2 linked regions of the Daphnia pulex genome follow. The protein of the gene in region 1 binds, or shares a complex with, the protein of each later gene. Links are inferred from orthologs where the notes say so. Each region holds a gene or a part of one and is shown in the gene's direction. Other genes may lie near its edges.

The links. Proteins that work in one complex are often made in the same cells at the same time.
Region 2: trafficking protein particle complex subunit 9-like (region 1) and trafficking protein particle complex subunit 11-like share a complex: the UniProt entries of both Homo sapiens proteins name them as parts of the multisubunit TRAPP (transport protein particle) complex. The link is inferred for Daphnia pulex from reciprocal best matches to the Homo sapiens genes TRAPPC9 and TRAPPC11.

The regions. Positions count from the first base shown.
Region 1 is NC_060024.1:7,056,068-7,065,992, forward strand, and holds the start of trafficking protein particle complex subunit 9-like, read left to right. Parts: upstream 1-4,604; 5' UTR 4,605-4,647; exon of another isoform or gene 4,648-4,831; intron 4,832-4,891; 5' UTR 4,892-4,996; coding exon 4,997-5,071; intron 5,072-5,128; coding exon 5,129-5,332; intron 5,333-5,374; exon of another isoform or gene 5,375-5,388; coding exon 5,389-5,542; intron 5,543-5,637; coding exon 5,638-5,936; intron 5,937-6,001; coding exon 6,002-6,119; intron 6,120-6,176; coding exon 6,177-6,327; intron 6,328-6,387; coding exon 6,388-6,519; intron 6,520-6,742; coding exon 6,743-6,959; intron 6,960-7,015; coding exon 7,016-7,090; intron 7,091-7,158; coding exon 7,159-7,360; intron 7,361-7,419; coding exon 7,420-7,872; intron 7,873-7,935; coding exon 7,936-8,124; intron 8,125-8,194; coding exon 8,195-8,369; intron 8,370-8,447; coding exon 8,448-8,630; intron 8,631-8,722; coding exon 8,723-8,883; intron 8,884-8,947; coding exon 8,948-9,322; intron 9,323-9,728; coding exon 9,729-9,925. UniProt on the Homo sapiens protein: Functions as an activator of NF-kappa-B through increased phosphorylation of the IKK complex. May function in neuronal cells differentiation. May play a role in vesicular transport from endoplasmic reticulum to Golgi.
Region 2 is NC_060025.1:1,283,283-1,293,207, forward strand, and holds trafficking protein particle complex subunit 11-like, read left to right. Parts: upstream 1-5,244; 5' UTR 5,245-5,386; coding exon 5,387-5,587; intron 5,588-5,656; coding exon 5,657-5,826; intron 5,827-5,891; coding exon 5,892-6,080; intron 6,081-6,141; coding exon 6,142-6,546; intron 6,547-6,613; coding exon 6,614-6,941; intron 6,942-7,000; coding exon 7,001-7,079; intron 7,080-7,143; coding exon 7,144-7,198; intron 7,199-7,263; coding exon 7,264-7,677; intron 7,678-7,737; coding exon 7,738-7,915; intron 7,916-7,972; coding exon 7,973-8,808; intron 8,809-8,872; coding exon 8,873-9,110; intron 9,111-9,180; coding exon 9,181-9,375; intron 9,376-9,447; exon of another isoform or gene 9,448-9,448; coding exon 9,449-9,475; 3' UTR 9,476-9,535; downstream 9,536-9,925. Other genes in the region: vacuolar protein sorting-associated protein 4-like, read right to left, coding at 4-148, 210-321, 384-407; ATP synthase subunit O, mitochondrial-like, read left to right, coding at 1,260-1,287, 1,354-1,466, 1,532-1,696; uncharacterized protein LOC124202179, read right to left, coding at 3,370-3,461, 3,525-3,668, 3,748-3,995, 4,063-4,256, 4,329-4,580; TBC1 domain family member 10A-like, read right to left, coding at 9,907-9,925. UniProt on the Homo sapiens protein: Involved in endoplasmic reticulum to Golgi apparatus trafficking at a very early stage.

The DNA.
Region 1 (9,925 bases):
CGTGTGTGTGAACTGTGAAGCACGTAAAGTCGTAAACAGTAGGGAAACGTGAAAATGTCGATCACCTTCCACTGGCGGACGACCTGACCCCTACCGGCAAGCAGGAACATCGATTCAGACGATTCTTCTCTGGCTTATGGAATTGAGTGTCGTCAGGGGTTCGTTAAGTGACAAAGCGAAAAAGCACGGCGTTATGCCCAATAAGCATTGTCGAATGTCATGTGACCATCCCTTTTCACCAATGAGGGGTTATAAGGCGCGCGCAAAATCGTGCTACCTTTCACGTCAGTGCCTTGAATGCCTGCGATGAAAGGGGAAGAAAGGGTTATTTTTTCAAATTAAAAAAAATTAAAAAAATGGCAACTCCACCTCCCATGTGTGATGAAGGTGCCATACACTGCCGTAGGCCTACTCTAACAAAGGAGAATGAAAGTCTTTCCCACTTTTTTGTTAGTCTTACACCAGAGCTATAGACTCCTGGTCGCTTCACGGCTGTGTTGGCTTCCCTATCCCGGTTTCAGGGTAAAAGTAAGCCGATTTGGAAACTTTAAAAAGCGCCTCTAGTGAGTGTGTCAGCTACTACGCTCAGCTACTTTTGTGAGCCTAGATGGCTCTTTTTAACGTTTCCACTTCACTATTCTGACAGGCTCCGCCCTAAAATCTCTTAAAATCGGCTTACTTTTACCCTTATAGAGTAGTCCATGGACAACGACTTGGTAACTAGAACTAGAACTTAAGTTGGTCGCTAGGGAATGGAAGCCCAAAACCGCCACTTTTTCAATATAATAATGATTTTCAAAATATCATTACATAAAACAGAAAAGAATATATAAAAAACAAATTCAATATAAAACTGAAAAAAGTATTATATAAAAACCAAAAAGAGTGTAATATAAAAAACAAAAAGTTGATATAAAAAGCAAAAAAAGTCAATATAAAACCCAAAAAAAAGTCAATATATATAAAAAATATTCAATATATATAAAAAAAATTCAATATAAAAACTGAAAATGTATTATATTAAAACCAAAAAGAATATAATATAAAAAAACAAAAAGTTGATATAAAAAGCAAAAAAAAGTCAATATAAAACCCAAAAAAAGTTCAATATATAATCCAAAAAAGGTCTATATAAAAACAGCAGCCACCTAGCGATCAAAAGAATCACTTCATGCCACATCTCCACCCCCTTAATAACCAGTTTGAATCCAGTAGTACAAACGGGGATTCTTGCGCGATAAACGCGTATTTGAGCATTTATTTAATCACATAATTAAAAACGAGCAATCGCTTAACTAACGCTACTTAATGCGCGTCGCTCTAAATTATTATTTTTTAAAATGTAATTCGAAGTAAAACGACTGTGGCTGACTGCGGCGACTGGTCAGACGAGTAACGCGAGCCCGTCCGTTTTTTCCAGCGGTTATCGCTGGTCCGTTTGCTATTTTAGCACTGCCGCCCGTCGACTGTTTTCGGTGGCTCATTATAAGCGAAAAATAATCCATTCAAATGTTTTGCGCTAAGCGCGCGTTGCGCTAGCGATTGGTTTGCAATAAACTTGCGCGCGATGCGCTATATTTAGCGCAATTCATTGCATCTCATTTTTACGAAACGCGCAAGCGCTTCGTTAATTAAAGTAAATGGTTCCGGAAAAGAAAACCATTGCGCGACTGGACGAGTAGCGCGTGCCCGTCCATTATTTCAGCGCTTATCACGAGTCAGTTTACTTGTCGTAGCGCTTATCGTCGCCCGTCCGCTGTTTAATAAGGCGACTCGCTGTGCACGGGTTATGCGCGTTTTGTAAATAATACGCATCTTGCGCGCGACACGCTAAATTTTGAGCATTTTATTTAATCTTTAATTAAAAAACGCACAAGCGCTTAAATAATTTGAGCGCTTATTTCTGGTTCTTCAAGCTGTGTTAGCGCTATCGCCCGTCCGCTGTTTTCAGCGGCTCATTATGCGAAAAATAATTAAAACACATTTTCATTCTAGATCTAGCGCTAAATAAACGCGCATGGCGCTAGTGATCTATTTGCGATTTACTTGCGCGCGATGCGCTAAATTATTTAGCGCAATTCATTCAATCGTAGCATTTTATGAAACGCGTAAGCGTTTCGTTAATTTAACTAAATGGTTCAGGAAAAGAAAACCATTGCGTGACTGGCTTCATTATTTCAGCGCTTATCACGAGTAAATTCGCTTGTCGTAGCGCTTATCGTCGTCCGTCCGCTGTTTAAGGCGGCTCGCTGCGCAAAACAATGTCAAAGTTCTAGCGCTGCGAAATCATAAACTCGCTTATGATAAACTTAAGATTAACTTGCGCTCAATGCGCTAAATAGTCGGATTAAGTTCATCACATAAATTACGAAGCGCGCATATAATTTGCTAAAATAAATATTTAGCGATAGATCTAGCGCAAAATATATTGACTTCATTATTTTTCGCGCTAAATATTTATTTTTGCTAGTTATTTGCGTTTGTAAATTATTTAATGAATTTAAATGCGCTTAATTTGACGCATTGCCTGCAAGTAAATCTTTAGTTAATTATTAGCGCAATGGGCGCTTAAGAAAGAAAGCGCTACATCTAGCGCGAACTATTTAAAATGTTTGGCCCAGCGAGCCGTGTAAAACTTTGGACGGACGACGATTAGCGCTAATAAGGTAGCGAACGGACTCGCGACAAACGCTAATATGATGTACGGGCGCACGCTTCTCGTCCCGTCTCGTCCATTTGCGGTAATCGTTTACCCTTTCGCAACATTTTATTAAAATTAACGAAACGCTTGCGCGTTTCCTAAATAATGCAATGAAATAAATTGCCCTAAATATAGCGAATCACGCGCAAGTTTATCGCAAACACATAGCTAGTCCCACGATCGCTTCGATAGCGCTAGATCTAGCGCGAAACATTTCAATTAATTATTTTTCACGCAATGATCCGCCGAAAACAGCGGAAGGAGCAGCGGAAATAGCGGACGGGCTCGCATTACTCGTCTAACCAGTCAGCGCAGTGGTTTCCCTTTGCATTCAATACAAACAAATAATTTAGAGCCATTCGCATTAAGTAGCGTTATTTAAGCGCTTTCGCTTTTTTAAATATAGGATTAAATAATACGCTCAAATTGAGCACATATCGCGCAATAAGCGTTAAACATTTATTTTATCGCTTGCGTGTTTCGTAAGCTATAAACGGACTCGAGACAAGCGCTAAAATTATCAACGGGTGTGCGCAACTTGTCCAGTCGCCGCAATCGTTTTACCTGTCGCATTTATTACTTTTATTAACGAAGCGCTTGGGCGTTTCGTAAATAATACAATGAAATAAATTGCGCTAAATATATATTTAGCGCATCGCGCGCAAGTTTATCGCAAACCAATTGCTAGCGCAACGCGCGCTTATTGCAAATCATTTGAATGGCTTATTAGCTTATAATGAGCCGCCGAAAACAGCGAACGGGCGACAGCGCTAAAATAGCAAACGGACCAGCGATAAGCGCTTTTAAAAAATCGGACGGGCTCACGTTACTCGTCTGACCAGTCGCCGCAGTCAGCCGCAGTCGTTTTACTTCGCTTGACATTTAAAAAAATAAAAATTTAGAGCGACGCGCATTAGGTAGCGTTATTTAAGCGCTTGCTCGTTTTTTTATTTTGTGATTAAATGCCCGTTTGTACTACTGGATTCAAACTGGCTATAAAGGGGGTGGAGATGTGGCATGAAGTAATTATTTTGACCGCTAGGTGGCTGCCGTTTTTATATTGAACTTTTTTGGGATTATATATTGAACTTTTTGGGGGTTTTATATTGACTTTTTTTTGCTTTTTATATCAACTTTTTGTTTTTTATATTACACTCTTCTTGGTTTTTATATAATACTTTTTTCAGTTTTATATTGAATTTGTTTTTTATATATTCTTTTCTGTTTTATATAATGATATTTTGAAAATCATTATTATATTGAAAAAGTGGCGGTTTTGGGCTTCCTTAGTGAAATTAACCCAACCCGACAGGCTTTAACACGGCGAGGGAAAGAGTCCCGTCCTTAGGGCTGTGGCCCGGGCGATGAAAACCCGGGCCACCGCCCGGGCTGAACGAAAAAAAACCCAACCCGACTCGACCCACCGAGGCATTTTTTTTAACGGGGCGGGCGACGGGTTGAACCCCCGGGCCCGCGGGCCAACCCGAGCGGTGGCGCCATCTAGTAGTCAAATAGAGAAGCTCGTTATTCTCTATGCCTGCGGCCTCAAAATATTGCCGCCAAATGCTCTACGATAATTTCGTAGCATGAAAAGTAAGATAAGTGGTAGAAAAGGGCGTTCAGGGGTGTTCAGAAGACAGAATTGACGTGTCACTGTTGGAAGAAGAAGATAATTAAGAAATTTAGGGATTTTTTTTAAGTTTGTAAAAAAAAAGTGTGTTTGACCCGATTTTTTACCCGGGCCGTTACCCGACCGGTATAAATTTTTTGACCCATGGGTTGGCCCGGGCCAAACCCGGTCACTCAGTTGGCCCAACCCGCTACGACCCGCGGAAGAAGAAAAACCCGTCTAAAAAACCCATTAAAAAAAAACCCGCTAAAAACGTCCCGGGCCACAGCCCTACCCGTCCTCTTAAATAGAGTAGTCCATGGCCTGGTTATAAACTGTATGTGGTTTTGCTGTTTCGACTTCACGATTGTTTTCAATTTTCTAGACAAGAACAGTAACTAGTCATTTCAGGTTAGATTTACTGGTGTCGATGCTTGATGGTGTCATGGGAAAGGAGCAGAATTAATTTTTGAATTAATTTTAATGACACAGTTTGAGTATTGACACACTTGAAAATTGAAGTAAAAATCTTCATTATTATTTAACATATTCATTACGGTTTCATATTTGTTTCATAACAGGTTTTAAGAAGAAGAATTCTGGAAGTGATTGATAATAACGTTATCATTTCTGTGTTGTTCAGTTCAACGCAAACAAGGAAGAAAACTATAACAACTTATATCCTCATGCGATCCGCTGTTAGTGCAATTTTGTCATCTCCAGCTCCTGAGTCAAATATGTCTCACCCAGATTATAGACAAGTAAACAATTATGTTAAAAAATATGAAAATACATCTCATTTCCAATTTTAATTCCAGACAGCCCATGATCATGCTTCCTTATTAATTATGGTGAGGCATCTTGGGTCAAAGCTCAACACCAGAAACTTTTCTAGACTCTATGAACGAATATCAAGGCAAAACAGTTTTAGGATTAAAGATAGCTCAGGAAGTGTGAGAAATATTTCAGCCCGCTATGTAAGATCCTATCCTATTGAAAACAACGAATGGGGAGATTTCCAGGTGAGTTATATTTTGGAACATAAATTTTCACAATTTTTATAGACCTTGGAATTTAGACCCATCGTAGAGTTCTTGGCCTTATTTGTGTTGGTGAATGCTCAAACACACAGGAAGTGAGTGAACTGAGCAAAATTCATGAATCTTTAAGATCAAAATTCAGTGGAACTTTGTATGATTCATGCTGCCTTTTTCTGGGGCTACAACATGATGGTAAGTGATAGAATTTGGTTTTCAAATTATGTTATCTTGAGATAAGTTATAAAGGTTAAGTGTTTCCTATTTAATTTTGTTCTGTCTGTTGAAAGGTACACCTTATGTGTCGTCAGTTTCAGAAGCTTCTCCAAACGAGAAACAGCAGCTAGAGCTCTCCAAAGATCCTGAGCATTCAACCTTGCCAATGAAAAATCACAACACACAGATAGAAATACCTTCTTTAACTGATAAAGAAAGGGCAATTACTTGTGACATCAGTCACCAAGATAGTTTTAATGAAACATCAACATCTACAAACTATGATAACATCAGTAAAGTTGTATCTCATCCATCTCGTACTCTCTATTATCCTAGTCTTGACAAATGTGTCACTCTAGAAGCAGATTTACAGGTACTATAACTTGAAGTGCTAAAGCTTTTGATTTCAGTTCATTCTAATTTAGTTTGTTGTGTCAGGATTTTGTTTCTTCCCTTTTTTGGGTATTGGAATCGAAAAGGCTTGTATCGATCAGCAACATCGACAAGGAAAAGCAGCCGTTTTTGTGCGCACCATTCGAACGAAAGGATTTAATTGGTATTAAAAACATTTTTAGGATAACCCAGGTGACATATTGTGTTATCCCTCTCTCAGGAATGGATTTAGAATCTCGAACTCATCGAAAACGTTGTGTTGGTCGATGGAGAAAGCAAGTAGGAGATTTATCTCTTCAGGCAGGTTTGTTATCCGAAGCACTTGAACAGTATCAGGCGGCAGCGGATGTCCTTAGACCTGCGAATGATTGGTACTGAAAGAAATTTAATTTTCTACCAAGTTAGTAGATGATTCGTTTAATGTTCAATAGGCTTTGGCTGGCTGGATCTTTTGAAGGACTTTGCGCTGCATCGATCATACTCTTATATCCTCATCTACGGAGGCCCGTCGCCATCCAGAGAAACGGGTCGTTAACGGGGGAAGGATTTAATAGTCGAATCAGGTATAAACAACATCGCATATGAGTGTATTTTAAATAATAAGGGAAATTCCCAAGCTAAGCAATTGTATTACGTAAGAAATGGTGGCAAAAAACCACAAAAAAATATTAAAATAAAAAACAAAACAAAAAACCTTTCCTTTGTTTACGTTTCGGCGTGATATACCTTGTACACATATTAATTTCCTTTGAGTTTGCTAAAATTCATCAATACGATTTCCTTCAGGTCAAATTCTTCCGGAGTAGGAGTGCGTTCTCTTCCTCCTGATATTGATTCTAATCACCATTTTTTGAAGAATCGGTTGAAATTCAAACATTCCCTTGGACCGGATGAAGTGATTGAAAAGTACCATGAAGCCGTTGTTCATTACTCCAAGTATCGCAATGCAGGAGTTATAGAAACAGAAGCGTCCATAAAAGCTGTCCATGTACTTATTGAACAGGTTCGATTTTTTTTTTTCTAGTTCTTTTCAAAAAGCTGACTTTTCTGTTTTGGCAGAGGAAATACCTTTCGGCTGCTGAATTTTTACAAAATGTTGTTTTTATCAACTTACACCTATCTGATGAAGAAAAGGTTTCAGAACTTTCATGTACCATAATTTATCGATTGAATTGCTTTAAAAATATCAGTTCACATTCTAGATTCAGAGATTTACTGCCCTTTCAGAACTCTACAGTCAATTAGGATTTAAACGGAAAAGCTCATTTTTCCGCCGCGTGTCCGCAATGCGTTGTGTTGCCCCAATGACAACAATTCAACCCAACTGGACACTTTGTTATCAGCTTCTTCTTGAGTCTATTGACGGATATAAACTCTCACTGGATCCTGCATTGCTATCTCATGGTTAACAAATTTTAATACATTTTCTTCATGTGAATATTATCCTTTTTAAATGCTAACAGAACACGCATGTGGGTGGCACGCGCTTCAAGTTCAAATTTTACAAGAACTTACCGGGACTGCAAGGCGATTAGGAAATGTTCCATTGGCCATTCGTCATGCTTCTTTGCTTGTTCACTTGCTTTTGATCCAGCAGCAACAAGTTGGTGCTATTCCAATATTGTCAAGCCAAGAGCAAGCCGAAATGGCTAAGCAGCTTGATCAGCTAGCACAACGCTCAGAAATGCCATTGCATCCTGGGCCACTTGCTCTAGAAAATGGCACCATTATTCCACCGGTGTCCTTAACTCTTTTACCCAAAATTGTTCATTTCAAACTGCAACCACCTGGAGCTGTATTGGCTGCTCAGAGGCTAATGCTCGAAGACGAAATCAACAATGGCCCCTTTTTGTTTACTCCTATTCAGTTTGGGTCTTTCAGAAAGCAACCAACAAGAAAAACTCTAGTTGAAATGGGTCTGTGATTTTATTATTTTTTAAATAAAAAATAATTTGCCAATAATTTTTTTCGAGTTTTAGATTTTCAATGGGTAGAAGGTGATCATTGCGAAGTATTAATACAAGTTATTAATCCTTCTTCTTATGAATTACGCATTACGAATATGCAATTGTTGACGGAGGATGTAGAGTTCGAGTCAGAATCCAGCTGTATCATTCTCCCTCCAGCTGTTGATCAAAAAACAACTCCCACAGTTATAACTTTGAGTGGTAATGTTGGTTTTTCTTCATCCTGCTATTGTCGTCTTTTCTTCGTGCTAAATAAACCTTTTTTTTTCAGGCATTCCACGCAGACCCGGACTTCTCAAAATTGTAGGCTATTCAATGACTGTGCTTGGTTTGAGAAACCACTGCAAATTGAAAAGTGCTATGCCATTAATGGGCAGTGCTTTTTTTTCTATTCATGTGGTCCCTGCTTTACCACGATTATCTGTTGAAATCGCATCGCCAAATCAGTAACTTTTTTACATACCGCTGCGCAATTATTTATTATTTCTAAACTAAATACTAATTGTTTCCATAAATTTTTGTAGTACTTTAATGACCATATCTGAATCTCAATCTGTAGCAACGACTAGTTCAGTACAGTTGTATGCTGGCCAGAGTACGGAGTGTAATCTAACTTTGGTTAATACGAGCAGCGTATCGGTCGAATCTTTTGATTTGGAATTAGTTCATGGTAACAAGTTATCTTCCAGTCAAGTCTTCAGTGTAAGGTAAGCTTTGTAAAATATAACTTTCTTTTTCTTTTTTTTTAAGTTGTTTGAATACCTGCCCAATTATTTTATTCTTCATTTACGGTCTTCAGTGTAGATAATTTAAAGGCTCAGCTTCCATGGCAATCTGGTACAGCCGTAAGTGTCACTGTTTACGTCCAAGGCGCGAGTGATTTTATTTTACCAGCTATCACTGATTATCTCTCAAATCTTCATTCGGGGGATGACTCTAACAGTCTCCCAAGCTTATCAGGTATCATTCGTATTCATTATAGATAGCAAAAATAGGGTTGACTATCGTATTTTATGTGATCTAGGTCCACCATCAATATTTTCGCGATTAAGTAATCATACCACAGTTACTTGTTCCCCAAGGAATAAAGCTAAGCGAGCTGAATCACTAGTATCAGTTCGTTCAGGAACATCTAGTGTCAGATCCGGAGGAAGTAGCAACCTTCGTATTATTGAATGTCAGGGCAACAACCATGTTGTTCCTCGCACCGTTGCAGTTCTACTTAAGCTTCAGTATTCTGGAGGACCTGGATATATTGCAGGATTTTGCCGATCAAATGGCGTCGGTTTAACGGTTGAAATTTTGCCATCAGTCATTATTACAAAGTGGGATGTGCTGCCTGCAGAAACTCCTTCGCACTGTTACCTAGTACTCGACATTCTGAACGCAACCCAACACGGTAACGCAATATTCTTTTCTTTGCTAGGTATTAATATAGTTTAAACATTTCAAGAATAATAGATTGACTGCCCGCGATGAAAGTAAAACACATGCTATTATCATTCTGTCCGCCGTAGTTGGACGATAAGTAAATTTATTTGATCTTCGCTTTTATTTCAACGATACACACGCTGGTTGAAATTTCACCGCCGTTTCGATACACCATATTTAAAATAGTTTTTCTGGATGGCGTTGCATCGTCTCGGATGCACGAGTTTATTTTTTATAGCATCTGTGTAATAAATTCTTGGAATGCATATGAGAATGAGAGTAGTAATGATTTTTTTAAAACATTATTTCTCTCATCAGCTTAACATTAAGTAGCATAGATTAAAATTTAACGTTACAAATTCTTATACTTGCAGAAATGGAGCTACAGTATAGCAGTTGCAAACACATTGCCATAGAAGCGCTTGATACGTGTCGTATTCCAGTACCTGTTGAACGATGTCCATTGGTCAAGCTAACCCATGTTTACACTGAAAAGGACCTGAGTCCAGAACAGCAACTTGAAAAGATTGCCAGGATTTGCAGCGAACATATTTCCTCCTTAGTTGAGCTA
Region 2 (9,925 bases), on another chromosome or scaffold:
TACTTTGTTGGGGCGGCTCCATCTTTAACTGGTTTCTTTCCTGTGTCTTTCCCTTTCTTAAGGTATTCTTTCAGCTTTTCAGCCCTTTCAAGATAGTGTTTGCATTTTTCTCTGATTGTCTCTCTGGCTCGCTCACTCTGAGTTCCATCTGAAACAACAAAAACAAATAGGTTATGCAATATCCTGCAATGATTCCACAAAAGTCTTACATTTGATGGCATGCAAAAAGTATTCAACTGAATGCTCGTAGAGGCGCAGTGCTTCTTCATAATTTTTGTTTTTATCCTCTTCAGTTGCTTTCGTCACGAGATCGATGGCTTTCTGCAACAATATTTGATTAGGACTATTGTTGATATTGTGCAATTAAGTTCGATGAGTAATACCTGAAGGGCGGGATTGGTCGCCATCGCCAAACAAATAAAGAATGAAAATTTCACTGACAGCTAAAGCAAATTCAGCAGTAATGCAACAACAATTTAACTGTCACAGCTTCCACCTTTCAATATGATCGCCAGTCAAAAAAATCGATGCCAAAAATTAGGACAACCTGAGGAAATAAAAAGGACAACACTAATCTCAGAGCAATAGATCCCTGGTCGGTTCTCGGCTGTGTTGGCTTCCCTATCCCGGTTTCAGGGTAAACGTGGTCCGATTTGGAAAAAATGATGAGCGCCTCTAGTGAGTGTGTCAGCTACTACGTGAAGCCAGCCAATCAGGAAGGGTCTATGAAAAACTCATTGGCCAATCACAGCTTACTTTTCTACATGAAGTGAACAATAATAAAAAGGTAGAAATATCCAACTGTCAAACCTCTAAGTTTCAAGCCGAATTTATATTCGATTTTGAATAGCCGGTTGTTTTCGCACAATCCTAAATTAATTTGCCGTAATTTATAAAATGTTGTACTATTTTCAATGAATGTTTTTACTTTCCAACTATTAGGCTCGTAACTTCAGCACCAGTTCATCATCCCAGCAGTTGGTGAAGGTAAATCATGTGAGTGTGGTACAGGTACATTTTAACCTAATTGTGTAATTGTTATAGGCTCCAGTCCAAGTTTTTGGGTTGTATGGTCGCTATGCCTCAGCACTCTACTCTGCTGCTTCCAAACAGAAATCTTTGGACAAAGTTGAGAGCGAGTTGAAGGACTTTCATGCAACTATTGCCAAAGATCTCGTTTGGCAGAATTCATTGCCAACCCCACTTTGAAGAGATCACTTAAGAAAGATGCTCTTATTTCAGTTGCCAAGAAATTGAAAATGAGTGCTGTTACAGGCAACTTCCTTGGTAAGTTTTTCTTTTCTATTGGTTTTCACTTCATTCTAATTGTTATTCATATGTTTATGATTACAGAACTCCTTGCTGAGAATGGAAGACTTAACAAATTGGATGTTGTCACTGGCCATTTCTTTAACATGATGGCTGCATTCAGAGGTGAAGTTGTATGTGAGGTCACCTCAGCCAAGGTAAAATATAAATCTAAAAAACATTAAACAATTACATGTTTAAAAAAATCTATTCTTATATCAAGGCCTTGGATGCTGCTACATTGAAAGAGGTTACTGCCGCTCTTTCTGGATTCTTGCAGAAAGGACAGTCTCAAGATTTCAACCAAGGTGGATCCCTCCATTGTTGGTGGACTTGTAGTTGTCCTTGGAGATCGCTACATCGACATGAGTTTGGCATCAAAGATTGAACGTTACACCACTCTCCTTAAACAACCCGTCTAGAAATTTTAAGTTGGCTGCGTTATAGTGGGAAACAAATATGTACATCTAATGGCAAAGAAATGCTGTAGTGGATATGAAAAATAAAAGAAATCGTATCACGAAGTTCTCCTTGTATGCAAACAAAATTGTCATTGTTATTTCAAACACCACATTCAGCTAAAGACAATAATTTGTGCACATTATATCTGGTTGAAACATTTGTCTCTTCTTGGTCCATAAGTTCTCGCATATACCTGTGTCTTCGTTCCCAGTTTCGACTAAGTTCTGTTGGGCAAGCCGAGGATTTCTTTTTGGAACTTTCAACTACTGCCAAATGATCCTTTAGATCGGGAAGATTACTCACAAAGCGGGATGAGACTTCAACGAGCTGTCGCATCAATTTAACATTCAGCATGCAGGGAGGGGTAACAAACCAGACGGTCTTCAAATCCTTCTCCTGAGCTGCTTGAATGATGCTTTTGGATTCGTGAATGTGTGAAGCGACGGAGCATAATACTCGGGCGTATTTGTTAAACGTAGCATAGTTTGGCTCAGCTTCATAGAGTACATGCCACAAATTGACCATCAACTGCATTAGCTCACACATGATCCAGGGAGCTTCCACTACAATATATATTCAAGAATTGTTATTTAATATTAAACAAAATAAACATATGTAAAAATACCACTTACGTTATTTCTCCATTTGAAAACATCAACATTTTGCATTACTTGTTGACTAGATGTATCTAAAATGAAAATGGTTCGGTTTCTGTGCATTACAGATTGTACAGAACATACAATATTACTACCATTTAACAGAAAATGTTGGTTTCCAGGGCATTGCTCCAGCATTAAGAGTCCACCGTTTGTAAGGATGGAACACGTTCAAAATTTCAATCCCTGTTTGAAAGTCACTTTCGTTAAAATGATGGGAGCAAATATGTACTCGTCAAATTACTACATGGAATTAGTTCTCGCCATTTTGATAATGAAGTTTTAGGAATTGCAAACAGGGTAACCTCGTTTTCTTTTTGATTTCCTTTGAAATATGTTGATTTACAACCAGGAACAGCACGCCTGCCAACCATTTTTACAGAAATTATGGTTAGGCTTCATTCACGTAATACACGATGATGGCGAACGTATTCACATATTACACAAAAATGGCCGCCGAAAGTATTATTTGAAAGTCAACGTCTTATCACTAGATGGCGCTGATTCATTTTTCCACTTCACAACTTCTGACAAGCTCCGCCCTAAAATGTCTGAAAATCGGGGATACGTTTACCCTGAAACCGGGATAGGGAAGCCAACACAGCCGAGAACCGACCAGGTATCTATGGCTCTGCTAATCTTACTTTCGGTAAAGACTGATAGAAATGAAGGCCATGTATCTTACTACCATTATGCGGAAGTTATGGTTCATGAAAATGCCGTACATGGCGCCACATAGCTGTAATGAAAAGCATTCAAACTTCAAAATGTTGAGAAATAAAATTTTAATACTGTATTGTGTGATAAAATGCGCTCATCATATACATAAAATTTGCAAATAAACAATCAAGAATCTAAAATCATATCAATTTCTTTTCGACACCATAAATTTCGTTCAGTGTTTAAAATAAAACGTGAGTAGTCTCTCAAAGGACTAGATTATTCATGCTGTTTTTGCAGGAAGTTTGCTGGAGATTTGGCTGGTAAAATTGCTGCTAAATGTCGCTTCCACTCTACCGCTTTCCAATGTGAAATCTAATACAGAATAAAATATTAGCCTTCCCTTCAAATTTGCAAAAACATGATTCCTTAATTTACTTTTTTGATTGCCAGCAGTTAGCTCAGCAGCAGTGGTAGCCAACAAAGTGCTATTATCACAGCTGTCAAGCAAATAGTCGCATATCGTCGTCTCGTTCAATACCGGTAACTTACTTTTCGCGATCCACAACGGCTTCGACACGACTGGAAAAACAATTGAAATAAAAGCGATTGTCTTTTTGGTAACGAAGATCAAAAAGTAAAAAAACAAATAAACCCTTACATTCGATGTACATTGCGATTCCAATAGCGACTAGTCCGACTACTGCGAGGCAGATGAAGAAAATGCCAATCATGGAACACGCCGACATTCTTTTCTTGGACCCATGCACCCCAGCTGATGGTCGTCCAGATTTGACTGGATGCAATTCTAAAGGACTTTCACTCATGTCGACTCGGTGGTGATCACACTTTTCTCTTGTTGGATCGACACTACCAGTAATAGCCCGTGTTACGCAAATCAGACCCGATCTATCAGTTCAAGAAATTTCAATTAAAACACTAAAAATACCATAAAGTTATGGAAAGAAAAATTTACTTGAGATCGAAGCAACCAGTGGTTTGATGGCTAACATCGGAATTCCAACTCGAATCATTATCGCCAATAGATGATCTAGCGGTTGGATGATTTGGGCCGCCAATATCGACGGAAGTGAAGCTGCTCTCCAATCCTGACGTGGCCAAGCATGGCGGCATCGCACCACCAGACACCACAATGACTTTTTCTCTCGACTGTCGATTCAATTTTCAATCAATTAGTTTAAGCAATACAACAAAACAAATTGCTGCACAAGTAAACTCAACTGGAAAGTAAACTGGGACGGAAGGTGAAATCGGCGTCGACGGTTGTTGGCAAAGAGAGAGGGGCGTGACATAAGCGTCGACATCGGGTTTGATTATGCCGAAACTGGTACACAGACTCAATGGCGAATGACAGTTGTTGTTGTCTTGGATCTTTAGTGTATACGATGGTGGAGACTGAAATTCCAAACGAGTCTGAATTCGGTCGACATCTTCCACGACGATTGATGGTGTCGATTGCAAATGTCTAGCCATTTTCCTTGTTAACCTAACACCTCGTGGAATAATTTAATAACATTGCAAATAAAGTAATGAGAAGAATTGATGTACCTTAAATTAAATGCCAAAAGAACCACCGATAAAACTAGTACCAATTGGAATTAATAAAGGTGACACGTGACGACGCTCTTACAGCGCGGCGTTTTTCGACTGCAATCTGTAACAAGGGGCGAGTAATAAACTAAGATTATTTTCTTTATGGCAAATCAAGGGATGGGTTCAATAAAAATTAAATTTGTCAGACAAAATTTGGCAACTCTGAATCCGTTCTTAATTGCGCATGGGGCATGGGGTCCGAAGTTCTCTTTTGTTATAGCCTTATCGGTACGATGAGTAACAATTTTGTTTTGAATAATTTGTTAATTACTACGAAAGCCTAATGATAAAAGAGTTCGTGGAATTTTAAAGGGTGTTCCATGACTCATTCCCATGTCCCATCAACATGCTGTTTTGTTTGTTTTCAAATGGTTTTCCAACCCTATTGAATTAATTAAGCTTAATTAATTAGGAAGGCATATTTCCGCGAATTACTTCCACGTTGTCTTAACATTGTTCTGGGTGCAGGGTATGTACAAAACAAACTAAGAAAATATCAAAGAAAGTTTACCTTAAATTTTGAAAATTGGCAAACTGGCAATACAGCATTATTTTTTGTTTTTCTATGTTTGATATTTCGTCTGCTACCGGGGTAGAGTTTTAGGGTGGAAATTGTTCGTAGTTTTGTTTTGGCTTCTCATGGTTTTTACACATTGTTCATCATCGCCCTTGAAGTTAGAAAAATAATGAGCTCGGATCTCGAATTACCCGAAGAGTTGGTGGATCGACCGTTAGCGTTGGTCGGTCTGACGGGACTGAATGTTGAAACGAATCAGACTCACCTGCTGATATGGAACTCTTTCACGTCATCTAATCGAAGCGAGAGACCTCCCCTCCATTTCGTTCTTTTTGGAGTTAATCATGCATTCCCCCTGGCGAAACCTGATGTAATTTATCTTTTAGGTTGAGAGATCAAAGTTTTTTTTAAATGTTTGTTTTTCACTCATTTGTTTTAGAGAACGTCATATGAATGGTACATTCCTAAAGGCATCCTCAAAAGAAAATGGATGTCCAAACACCTGAAACAGATTCCAGGTGTCTTGGTTCTCTTCTATGATTTGGAGTGGGACGATCCTGCATGGAAAGCTAAACATGCAGAATGTGCACATCTAATCCAAACAACTCGGTAAATCATTCAGTCATAAACTTGAACTCAAATATTTTGTTATTAACTATAATTTTTCTATCCAGTATGAAGCTTATGGGAAGGGGTAGTAAGCTCTGCCTAGTCCTCTTACAAAATAGCCCTCCATTACCTTCCAGTGAAGATATTTTGGCAGCAGATAGAGCTGCAGCTTTGTGCCAAGTGTGTGAATTACCACCTAAATCGCTCTTTGTCCTTCCTTGCCGTAGCGATCATCTACAGGGATACACCTTGAGGTATCACGTTATTTTAAATGTAGTCGTGAGTTATATAATGTTACACTATACTACGAAACAGGTTGGAGAGCGCATTTTACGAACTTTGTCAAAGTAGTTATCATTTGTCATCGAGGGCCGTTCGCTCCCACCGCGACCAATTGAACCGTACAAATCACGGCTACTTGTTTGTGAGACATCAGTTTAAAATCGGATTTTACCACGAGCTTAAGCAGGACGTTGCCATGGCGCACAAGCATTACAGCCAATCGTATGCCCATTTGCTAGAGCTTCGCATCACAGATGCCAATGTCACTGAAGTGAAGATTGTCGCTGGATACATCGGCTACAAGGTCTGGCGTCTCTCGTTCTTGCTCAATCTGCCTCGCGAAGCTATCGCCCATTTCAGGAGTCACATGGACTTTTTTCGGCTGCGGATTGGTAACCCTTTGAGCAAATTCGAACATCACGCCTGGCTGGCTGCCCAGTAAAATTAAAATAAAATTTATTTCAAAAATTATTTTTCATTAAATTTTACGAATTCTTTTGTTTAGATTTTCGACGTTTGGCAGTTTGTTTGACGATGCGATTGAGTTAGGACTTCCGGCAATCCAGACTCAACATCCTGGCTTCTTCTACCAACAGTCTGCGCAGCAATCCATCCTAAGGAAGAAGGCTTGCTACCAAGATTACGATGCTCTCGACGAAACTGTCATTAATAACTTGACTCCATTATCGTTCGGCGAATCGTCACAATTGGAATTCTTCGGTCAAAGACCCTGGCGACCTAGTCGGTTGAGTCTTGAACCAGCTGATATGAAAGCTGAGAACGACGGGATTGCTGCAATGTTAATCCGCGAAAGACATCAAGTTGATCTCACGGTACTGCCTTTTATTAAAACATTTCCTATTTTGATAAGCGATTTTAACTTGGTGTGTAGGGTATGATCGTTGCTGCTCTTACAAATGCAGTAAATCAATTTAAAAATCACCGATCTCCTCGGATGAAGCAGTATTTATGTAATTTATCACTTACACTTTTAAAAGTCAGTATCAGAGCAAACTAAAATTTTTCTTCTCCTAGTGGTACAAATGGCGGAAGAATATTGCCGATCGGAAAACTTTGCGGAAGCCCTTACGTAATAAAAATTGACTTCAACTTTTATTTTAATTTATTATTAATGGAAATTAACGCTTTGTATAGGTTGCTCGAACCTTTGCTCTGGGATTACCGCAAAGATTTCTGGTGGATGCCACTGACATCTTTACTCCAGTTGGGTTTGCGTTGTGCTTTTCTTTCCGGTCGGCCTGCCGAATACTTCACATATGCCGTAGAATTGTGTTCCCGGGTGACGATGAAAAGCCAAGATGAAAAGGGCCAATTATTCGATAATCTCATCGGAATCCTACAAAAGAGGATACCACCGCCGCCTCCCGACTCTACCGCGGTTTCGTTGGCTACTCAACTATGGGCTGATCAATTTGCAAGTTTGGCCAGCGGCGCCTGCGTAACCACGATCGTTACCAACACGATTTCGTCATTCGTTGAAGTCAAGGCCACTTTTACTCAAAAGCAATTTGCTGCCGAAGATGTTGTCGAACTCGAAGTTCACGTTAGGTAAAGAGTTGGAATTACTCTTGAAATACAAATTTAATAATAACTTTAATTTCATAATAGTTATACGGGTCCAAAGGCGATACAGTTCACCAGTTTACACGTGGCTCTCAACAATACTGCCTATTTGCCCTTTTGTCAAGTGAAGGATCCGGAAGAGTTGGAATTTGAACCCAATCAGATCCGACACTACGAGTTTGAATTTGCTGCGCAATCTCAAGACATTGGTGCGGAACTTCAAGTAGGTTTAACTTTGATTGGCAATTGAAGAAGAGAAAGTAATTTCATCCATCCATAGATTGTTTCAGTCACGTTGGAGATGGGGCATGACCTTGTGGCTTATTTGCGATGCGAAGGATCTTCCAGTGAAGAATTTGGGTCATCACGTTCTGAATTTCCTTCGGCTACAGAGAAAGGTTTGTCCGGTTTGTTTGTATTGAACACGGCCGAAATTCTGCCCCGGACTGCAAACGTTGAGCTTTTGATCCGACATGACGCCCCGGCCCTTCGTGGTGAATGTTATCCGCTTCACCTTGAATTGGTCAATCGGGAAAAAGAAGATATTAGCAACGTCACGGTGACTGTGACGACTAGCAGCACTGACGGCCGAGTTCACGACCAGCCTAAAATCGACGGCAATTTGTCGGTTCAGTTGAAGAGCGAAGAAATCGCAACCGGGCAAACATGCCAATGGAACGTGTTTACTCAAATGGAGCAGCCTGGTAAACATTACGTCACGTTTCAGGTCAATTACGAAATAACCAGCGAGGTGTGCAATAGTAAATGCACTTACAAGAGTCAGTACGTCAAAACGCTCGAGCTGGAAACGGTCCAACCCGTCGAGTGTGAGGCTCAGTTTCAGACGATCCAGTTCCAGCCATTGAGACAGATCCCCGTAGGAGAGCCTTGTGTCGCTGTGATGACGGTGACCAACTTGTCGCCATTTCCTTTACTGCTGGAGCAAGGCGTTTGGAAATTTGACCCATTGCTAACCAATCAACCCATGCCCAATAGTCAGCTATCTGGGTTGACACTTCAAAAAGGAGAAAAAGCCAACGATGTGGCCGTACTTTCACTTTCGAATGGGGACAATCGCCATATAAGGACAGGATCCTACTCTTTGAAATGGAAAAGGTATTAATCTTTCAAGTCACTGTTGTTGGCACTGGAAATTTTTGACTTAACACGGCAAATTTAGGGCGAATCAATCAAAAGTGGAAGGATATAAAATTCCTTACTCGGCCAGTTCGTTCGACTTACCCGAAATGGAAACCTGGAGCATTCCGTTGCGAATTCAAGTCAAACTACCTGCTCACGGATACGTTCGAGAGTCAATGAACATGGCTATCATCATTCACAATCCAGGCACTAGCTACGTTGAACTGGATGTCTACATGAGTTCCAATGACGCTTTCATGTTTTCTGGAAACAAACAAGTAAAGTTTTCCAAAACATTTTTGTTCACAATGTTCACAATTTAAATTGTCTGGTTTTTGTCATTTTAAGATTAAGATTCAGATTTATCCAGAAGATGAGTACGAACTCAAATACAACTTGTATCCGCTGTTGTCCGGTTTTGTGGCTTTGCCTCCACTCCAGTTGAAAACCACGACGTCGGCCATCGATCAAGTAGCGGAGATGGATCAGACGGTTCTAGATGAGCTGGTCAGCCGTTACGTCCCTACCCACATTTATGTTTTGGTAAATTTTCGGAGATTTCAATCACGTTTTCAATTTGTTCTTCAATTGGCGTTTCCTTTTTTCGTTTTTTTAGCCGCAGGCGAAGAATGGCAACAAGTAACGTGCTACGTTCCGACTAAAATAAAACTAAATCGTTTGTTAATGAATGAAATTTCAAAGGGAAAACACACATTGCAAAATATATAACAAAATATCTATCAAAAAAGTGCAAAAATGGTTTATCTTTTTTCTATCGACATAGGATTATTTTATATAAAGCACCGACTGGAAACACAACGCGGGATAGAGGCGGGAGTAGGATGGATGAGGGGAAGATTCAATCAAGTGGTCCAAACACGTCGCAAATAACAAAAAGAAAAAGGGGGAGAAAAATAACCAAAAAGGTCTTTGGTTGATTGACGGGATAGAAAAACGAAAATATGAAACCGCGTCTGTTCGGTCTTTCTTACATTTAACGAGATAATACCCTCTATGATATACTCTGTCTTTTAACGGGAAAAGGAAGCAAAAAGGAAATAAGGCATGGCATTTTTAATTGCCTTGAGGGGAA